2 linked regions of the Xenopus tropicalis genome follow. The main gene of each other region encodes a partner of the protein of the gene in region 2 in a complex. Links are inferred from orthologs where the notes say so. Each region holds a gene or a part of one and is shown on either strand. Other genes may lie near its edges. The genes, in order: polr2f and gtf2e2.

Region 1 (4,497 bases), on a different chromosome or scaffold from region 2:
ACTGCACCGCCCAGGGTGTAAGCGAATGAGTGTTCCTCTTCATCCTTCTTGCATGCGTAGTAGAGTGAAAAGCCAAACTTTAACGCATGCATGGGCCCCAGGATTACTGCAAAAGGAGAAGGAAGGAAGATAATTGCTCGCCTGCATTTACCCGAGTCAGTGCAGGAGTACCGGTTGGGGGTATCAGGTAAGCAATTACAATTACTGGGGGCTGCCTAACATGTGGCACCCCCTAGTGATTTAGCTGTTCCTTCTCATTTAAAGTGATATTTAGGAACAGGCTCTTATTGTAACAATGAAGGTGTGTTCACATTAGTCCACATGGAAAGTGCTGGGTGAAATGTGCTCTTTCCATCACATATAATCTTTTACTTACGCTATTTGCAGGGCACGAGTTCCCAGCACACGGGCCCGCTCATATTTTGTCATGTAATTGGTGGTGATGCGTTTCTGGTTGGCCTGCTGGCCTTCCCCAGCTGGAAGAATTGCCACATTCTCCTGGTCTTCCTGCAATACAAAACCCACCAATTGTTACATAGAGACCACAAAGGAAAACTTCTGGTTGTAGTCCATTGAATGTCTGTGTCTTCTAGTTCTACTTTACCCACATTAACAGTAAGATATTAGAACACAAATTTTGTATTAACAAAACATATACATATATATATATATGAAACACCTAGAAGTTTCCATTTTGCGCTGAGCTTTTTAGTATAAATAATTATTTGGACTATTGCAATTTCAGTAAAGAAAAACCAGGCTGTTGTGGAACAAAAGAACACCACCTACCTCTTCTGCATTGTCCAAATCATCAAGTCCCTCATCCTCTTCGACATCATCAAAATCATCTCCATCAAAGCTGCACACCAAAACAAATACATAAGTGAACAACTCTTGGCATAATTTCCTCCCTTCTGTACTACATTGTCAGGGTTTGGTGCTTAAAATAGACTTTGAGTTGATAATGATAACTGATACTTACTGTATCATCCATGGTAGCCAGTCCTGTAACTTGCAATAAAATACATGGGACTGTATATTTTTCTAGAATGTTGATAAATAATCAATGTAATAAAATGCAAAGTAGAACTTTTCAATGTGACTGCTGTTAGGAAATAAGGCCTTGTACAGGTTGTGTCCTACTGTAACTATGGAAAAGGCCTCTGCTGGGGAAATACACCATAAACTCTGGTCATTTGGACTTAAATTCACCAAAAAACAGGGGGGAGGGAGAGGAATGGACAAATACCTTATAGATTATTAAAAATAAAAGAGTGATATGCAACACTGCTATAAATTATCTTAAATATATCACCAAAGTCAATTGTTTTAATCAAATTTAGTCACTGTCACAGTAGCATCCAAAACAGAAAATAGAGCCCCCTCCATTATACAATGACCACTCTGTTAGAAAGAAATCTGGGCACAGAGTTCTAACAGCGACCCCTTGTGCTTTTTTTCTTCTGGTCAAATTACAAGCAACAGCCATGACTATGATATGTGAGCATCAGCCCTTGTAAGTAGGGAGTACTGGCCTGGGTACAGTTTCGTAGAGCTTTATCTGAATAAAAGGTCTGTTAAATGTTGCCCTCTTATATTTCAATGTACATAAAAGTGCTGCTGCTATTTAACAGATCAAAAATATTTATTTGTTATATTACCTATGGTGCCATCAAGAAAAAATGCCGGGACAGAGGTGATACCAGTTTGCAGGGATATATGTATTTGACACACATATGGGCACATACAAACAGGTTGCTCTTTGCTCATTCCCTATATATATATATATATATATATATATATATATATATATATATATATATATATATATATATATATATATAAAAATTTTTTTTTTTTTTTTATATTACTGGGATGTCAGATGAAGTTATTATCAATATGGCACCATGAGATTGGAACCTGCTCCTGTTCCTACACACCTGATTGCCATTCTGCCTCATGGCTCCAAAAGCAGTGTGATAATTAGGAGTACATTTAAATAAAACAGTATTTGATGTATGAGAAGCAACGCAGAGAGTGGCTGGGCCATAGAACTGAGACATATACATGGTGCCAAGGGGCAGAAATACTCAGCTGTAACTCCTCACAGAAAGATCAGCATTTTAGTGAATCATTCTGGTGCAATGGCTGCTACATATCTGCCCTGCAGCGTCTCCCCACCTGTATGAAAGCGAATTTACTATTATAGTCTGGAAATAGATATTCTTGATTCTGGCATAAACATCCTTGGGGTTCATTTACTAATAGTGGGCAAATTAGCAGCTGGTAAGTAACCCATGGCGACCATTTGCTGTCATTATTGTAACTGCTGATGGCAGAACATAATCACTGACCTGCTGGATTAGCGCCTAGGTACCAACTTGCCCCCCGTTAGTAAATGAGTGTGCTTATAATTCAGTACAGGGAATAACACCGTTATGCAGCTTTGTGGGTTCATGACCTGGAAAATTTGTCCATAAACAATGAGATTTCATGACTAAACTCGGCAGTATATTATATATTATAAACAATTACACCGCCCTCTTGTAATCGGGGGCCAGTGTTCCCTTACAGTGTTAGTACCGGGCGGAAGGAGATGAAGGGACACTGTATGAGCCATTCCCACATGGCACTAGCAGCTAGGAAGCCCCCAGCCCGTACCGTCGGCCTGCCCAGTGAATATCACCGCCCCACCCTTTATTATAGTAACAATACAAAGCGACTCACTTGTCCTCGTTGTCCGACATGGCAGCGGCTCTAGGTACCGAGCAGAACCTACTCGCTTTTCCCACACACACACTGGGATAAGTTCGTTGCGGCGTCACGAACGGCCACAGACAGGAAGCGGAAACGTTAAACCCTCAACTTCCTTCCTTGTACGGTTCCCATGGAGACAGGACGCGACTTGCGAGAGCGTTTCGTGTTCGTTATACAGACTGACCGGTGCTGGCTGGCGTGCTGACAGCTTATTAAGGTTAGAGATGGTTTGTATAGATATACACATAGGCAATAATGAATACTATGGTTAGTGCAAGAATAAACATTTAATGTTGTTTGCATTTGGGGTATGTTGACTGTAGCATGGGTATATATGTAGCTGAGGGACAGGATAGTGTAGTTATACTAGTATGGAATAGCCCCACCTAATGGTCATTAATGTGACTATATACTTTATAAGCAGAATCGTGGGCTTCTGCTTAGCTTTTCATGCCTGGCACTCCCATGGTTAATGGTGAGAAATCACTAACATAGTTTTTCTGTTATACATGTAGGGGTTTACCAAAAATGGGCCCTTAGGATAGACACCCCTAGGATAGGCCACAGGGTGGTGATCAGGGACATTGGGATGACTGGGTGCTAAATAGTTAACAGGGAGTATACCTGTAGTTAGGGTTATGGCCACAGGGTGGTGCATAGGCCCATATAAGGGGTTGCAGCCATGTGCTGAGTGGCAGACATTTTGGGGGCTGCTCCAGGCAGGAGTACCCCAGGTACAGTTTAGATAGAAGTTTGGTAATAGATCACTCCAGGAGTGATATGTAGGACACCATAGGTTAAAATGGGCAGACATGACCCCTCCAGGAGTGGTAGTGAGGTTAAGACCTCCCAGCGTTACATCTGCTGGAGTGCAGGGCCACAAGTGGCTAGGGAAGGTGCACCAGGTCACCACTAGTCCAGGAGCTTGGATTTGAGGATGCTTAGTGTGAGTACCGGTGTGGGTCCCTGTGGTGAGGCTTCTAGCGTGAGTACCGGGGAGGGCTCCAGGAGGGGGTGCCTCATGACGCGAGTACCGGGAAGGTCACCTAGAGGGGAGCACGTGGCGTGAGTACCGTGGAGTAGTCCAACAGAAAGAGTCTCAATGAGTAGTAAGGGGATATGCCCTGCACACTGTATCAATAATATGTGCCACTCCTGGAGAGGAATCTGCCTAATATACCGTTGCACCGTTGTCTGCTGTGAGTATCTGCCAAGCCCAGAGGACCACTACCAAGCTGGTAAGGAATAACTCCAAGAGGGAGTGTATTACACCAGGAGTACGTGGGTCCCAAGAGGGGCATAGCAACCTATTAAGTTCCCAGGGGGTGGATTATAGTTACACAACACCATCCCTGGGTGGAGGCACACCATTTAAGGGAGAAATCCCTGTTAACCCCCATAGTAAGCGGGGGCTCAGGACTCCTGTAGCGCCAAGTAAAGACAAGTCAGCAGGTAGTGCCACAGAATCTCATAAAGTGGGCTACATACACAAATTAGAAATTCCCTTTGGTTTTAAAGGGATGGTTCACCTTTAAGTTTTAGTATATTATAGCAGTTTCCTTGTTTTTATTTGTGCATTTATCTATGTCTGCCTAAGGCCATAAAGTGTAATGTTACATTGCCATTATGTTTATTACAGAATCGGCATCACAATGGCAGTCAGGAATGTAAGTACAAAGGTTCCAGTGGGCACAGGGTTTTGGAACAATGCCAAACCTGCTCAATACAGCAAAGAAACCC
Region 2 (3,705 bases):
ATCACTTGTGGTGCAACAAATATGTTGCTTTTCACTCTCCAGCCAATGATATGTCTTTGAAGCTGTGTCTGGTACCGCTCCCTCTCCATTCATTCCAGATGAATAAGATCTGCAGTGCTCAAAGCCATAGTTCACTATTCATAGGAATGCAGTAGCACAGGGTTACCTGCTTTATCCCCTACGCACAGGGTGCAGTATATCAGAGATAAAACAGCCAACTGCTTAGGCCGATAACTTCACAAATGTATTTCATTTTAATGTTTAGGGGAAAATTCAGAGTGATATCAGAGAAGCTTGTCTCTTGCCCTTACTTCAGACAGAGTGGCTCCAGAGATCCTGCTTCCTTCGTTTGTTTAACAATGCTACATTGTGGCTGATAAATGCAATTTGAACAAGCTGCTTCTAGATCCTAATTTGTACACTTATTTCTAGTGATATGACAAAATGCGATGTGAAAATCTGAAATGCAAAATATTTTGATTTGCGTTTTTACCACCAATTTTATTTCAATGTAAAGTAATGCTGTTGCCAAGAAATGATTTTATGATACATTTGGACACCATCAGAAGTCATCAGCACTTAAACTAAACCACATAGTAGAGTTGATCAGCTGCTACAAGCACCCACACGCCAGTACTCGCTACCACCTATACCAGTGCACAAATGTTATACTTGTGCATGCCCATACATTTTATGATAGAGTGAGAAACTGGGGTTGTTTATATATTCGACTGGACACGTTAACTGCAGTTCTATTTTGGCAAATCAGGCTATCAGCTTACCAGCCTCTGATTCTTTTCTAAGGCCAATCACTTTCTAGCACTTCTGTCTCATATTGCTTGCCATTAGATATAATAGTAATCATGGTGATTAAAGCATCACCTCAGAATGCAGGCCTTCTAGTTTATAGGTCTTCTTGTGACATAAGCATATATTTGTATAATAGATAACCATAAAAAAATAACCATAACTTATTTATCAACTCCTACCGCTCTTGAGCTCAATCCATTATCTCTTCCTAAGTACCTCATCATCTTATCTCTAGTGTTGCTACCTTTTACTGTAATAGCAATATTGCCTTTACTTAAAAAAAAAAAAAAAAAAATATATATATATATATATATAATCTCCCACCCCCCAACACAAAAAAGCTGTGGTAAGCAATATTGCATACTTTATGTACATGTAAATGTATCTAAAATCTTATTTTTAAATTATGTGCTGCAAAACTCCATCAGCAATACAAATGAGTGCTAAGATGAGAAAAAGGTCATGAAACATCTGAATGACTCCTGCAAAGAGAGAGAAATTAATACCAGTCGGAATACTATATGAACCTTTTTAGATAAAATCCATGTTTTGTTGTGACTCCTACCTTTAGAAGCTGAATGGCACTGTTTTTCTCCATTGATCATAGGTGCTGTGGTGGGTCCCATTCATTATATCAGCTCAGCCCTTTTATGTAGGTGCATATAATGGGTTTTAATGATGGAGTGCAGAATGAACTAGGTGTAGCTCAGATGAGCTCAAAATCACCTGTGAATAAATACCTTAGTTGTCCTGCATGTGTTCTATTAAGAATTTACTTATTCTTAGAATTTCAGAAGTTATGGAGGAGTGTCCCAGTAGATTCCATGGACGATGAGAAGATTGAAGAATACCTAAAAAGGCAGGGAATTTCTTCAATGCAAGACTCTGGACCAAAGAAAATTGTAAGAGAGCCTTATAATTTGTGTAAAATACCTTTCAATCTGTCAATTTTTCTACAATAGGAATATTGTCCTTAATCCACACTTACATCCTTAGGTTAATGTCCCACGGGGAGATTAGTTGATTAATCTCTGCTACTGCAGGCCACTAATCTCCCTGAAAAGCCTTCCCAGTGGCAAGGAAACTTTGGGCGATTTAGAGATGTGTATGCCTTCCCATTGGTGGTTTACATTATTGCCAGTGGGAAGGCATGTCAGGGAGATTAGTTGCCCGCGGTAGCAGAGATTTGTTTTCTGGGTTGCAGTAGTTTTTATACTTGCCTTCGTGTTCCATAGTCTGTGCCTTGTTCTGCTATTTGCAGCGTTAACGCAATTTATTAATGCACATTTTAGATTCCAGTGCAGAAGAGGAAGAAAACTACTTCACAGAGAAGGAGGTTTAAGACTCATAACGACCACTTGGCGGGAGTGCTGAAAGATTATACAGATGGTGCTCCAGGCAAATCATAAAAGCATCAATTGGACTAAGGATGTTTACAGAGTATCTTCACTGCAGGATCTCCTTAGCTGCTCATCAACTCCAAACCTTGATAGTTACCTAATATTTCCCCTCACAGACTCAAAAATCCAGAATTACATTCTCTGGGTGTTAAAGAGACCATTTATTTCTGTCTTAGGAGTATTAAAGAATCAAATGTACTATACATTAGCTAAAAAAATATCCTAGAGCTGCCATGTCTCTGCCAGACACAGACCGATTGGCAGTTTGTGGAAGCCGAATATTGTGCTGGTTTTGCTCTGCTTAATTCTGTTCATTCTGATCCCCTTGTTGCTCAGATAAATATGTCTCCAGCATCTGATTTAATGAGTTTTGTGTTTATTGTATTTAAAGGGCAATTGTGCTATTTCAATAGCAAAAATAACTCTTTCTTTTGTTAGCCAACATAAAAACTTTTACGTACAAAATGGTTAAACCACTTTTTTTCTTTTGTTTTAATGTAATAAAGATTGTTTTCTTTTGAACCTTCTATAAACTTGTCTAAATTGGCACATACGTAATGTACCATAGCAAAAAGTGAACAGAAATGATATAAAGAACAGTGGTTCAAATTTGATTTTGCAAAATCCTGAATAATATATATTTTTAAAATAAATAGTTGCACACCTTTTTGGAAGTAAGAGTCAAGGAAGCAAATGGTACGTTAACATATTATGCTCTTTATGTAGTAAGTATTACAAGTCCTTTTGTCAAAGGGAATCGCCTTTACAAAGGACTTGGTTACGAAATGTTGGGGTTTCCGGGTATATTTGTATATATAATGTATATGTGTGTATGTGTAATTATATCAGTTGATGTTTGCTAAATCAAGGGTTCATACCCCCATATGAAACTAGTGCAACACCTTTAAGAAAATAAACAAATATGGGTTGCAGCTTTACAGACTGTGAAACTGCAACCTATTTTTATTTCTGTTAAGCTAAGTACCACTGTATCAGCATATGCCTGGACTTTTTAAATATATATATATATATATATATATATATATATATATATATATATGTATGTGTGTGTGTATATATGTATATATATATATATATGTATATGTATATATATATATATATATATATATATATATATATGTATATGTATATGTGTAAATTATTTTGTAAAATAACCAAGTCAGTAAGTCACTGTAATGACATCACTGAGCACCAATAATAACTGATGACATCACAAGTTATAAAGAGATATCTTAAGCCCTTATGTATTCCATAATATAGACATTGTTCCTCCCAGCAGTGTTGGTTTATATGCAGGGAAGGCCATCTCCCATAGATTCCATTATAATCAAATAATTAAAAAAATTTTCTCTGTAGTAATAAAACAGTGCCTTGTACTTCATCCCAACTAAGATATAAATAATCCTATTGGGTTTATTTAATTTTTTTATGACTTTTTAGTAGACTTAAGGCATGGTGATCCAAATTACAGAAA

What was found.
Region 1: gtf2e2 (region 2) and polr2f share a complex: the UniProt entries of both Homo sapiens proteins name them as parts of the TBP-based Pol II pre-initiation complex. The link is inferred for Xenopus tropicalis from reciprocal best matches to the Homo sapiens genes GTF2E2 and POLR2F.

What each region holds. Positions count from the first base shown.
Region 1 is NC_030680.2:122,152,471-122,156,967, reverse strand, and holds the start of polr2f (DNA-directed RNA polymerases I, II, and III subunit RPABC2), read right to left. Parts: upstream 2,840-4,497; 5' UTR 2,748-2,839; coding exon 2,728-2,747; intron 860-2,727; coding exon 790-859; intron 508-789; coding exon 377-507; intron 1-376. Other genes in the region: c22orf23 (UPF0193 protein EVG1), read left to right, coding at 4,410-4,497. UniProt on the Homo sapiens protein: DNA-dependent RNA polymerase catalyzes the transcription of DNA into RNA using the four ribonucleoside triphosphates as substrates.
Region 2 is NC_030677.2:83,811,871-83,815,575, forward strand, and holds the end of gtf2e2 (transcription initiation factor IIE subunit beta), read left to right. Parts: intron 1-1,596; coding exon 1,597-1,712; intron 1,713-2,102; coding exon 2,103-2,219; 3' UTR 2,220-2,884; downstream 2,885-3,705. UniProt on the Homo sapiens protein: Recruits TFIIH to the initiation complex and stimulates the RNA polymerase II C-terminal domain kinase and DNA-dependent ATPase activities of TFIIH. Both TFIIH and TFIIE are required for promoter clearance by RNA polymerase.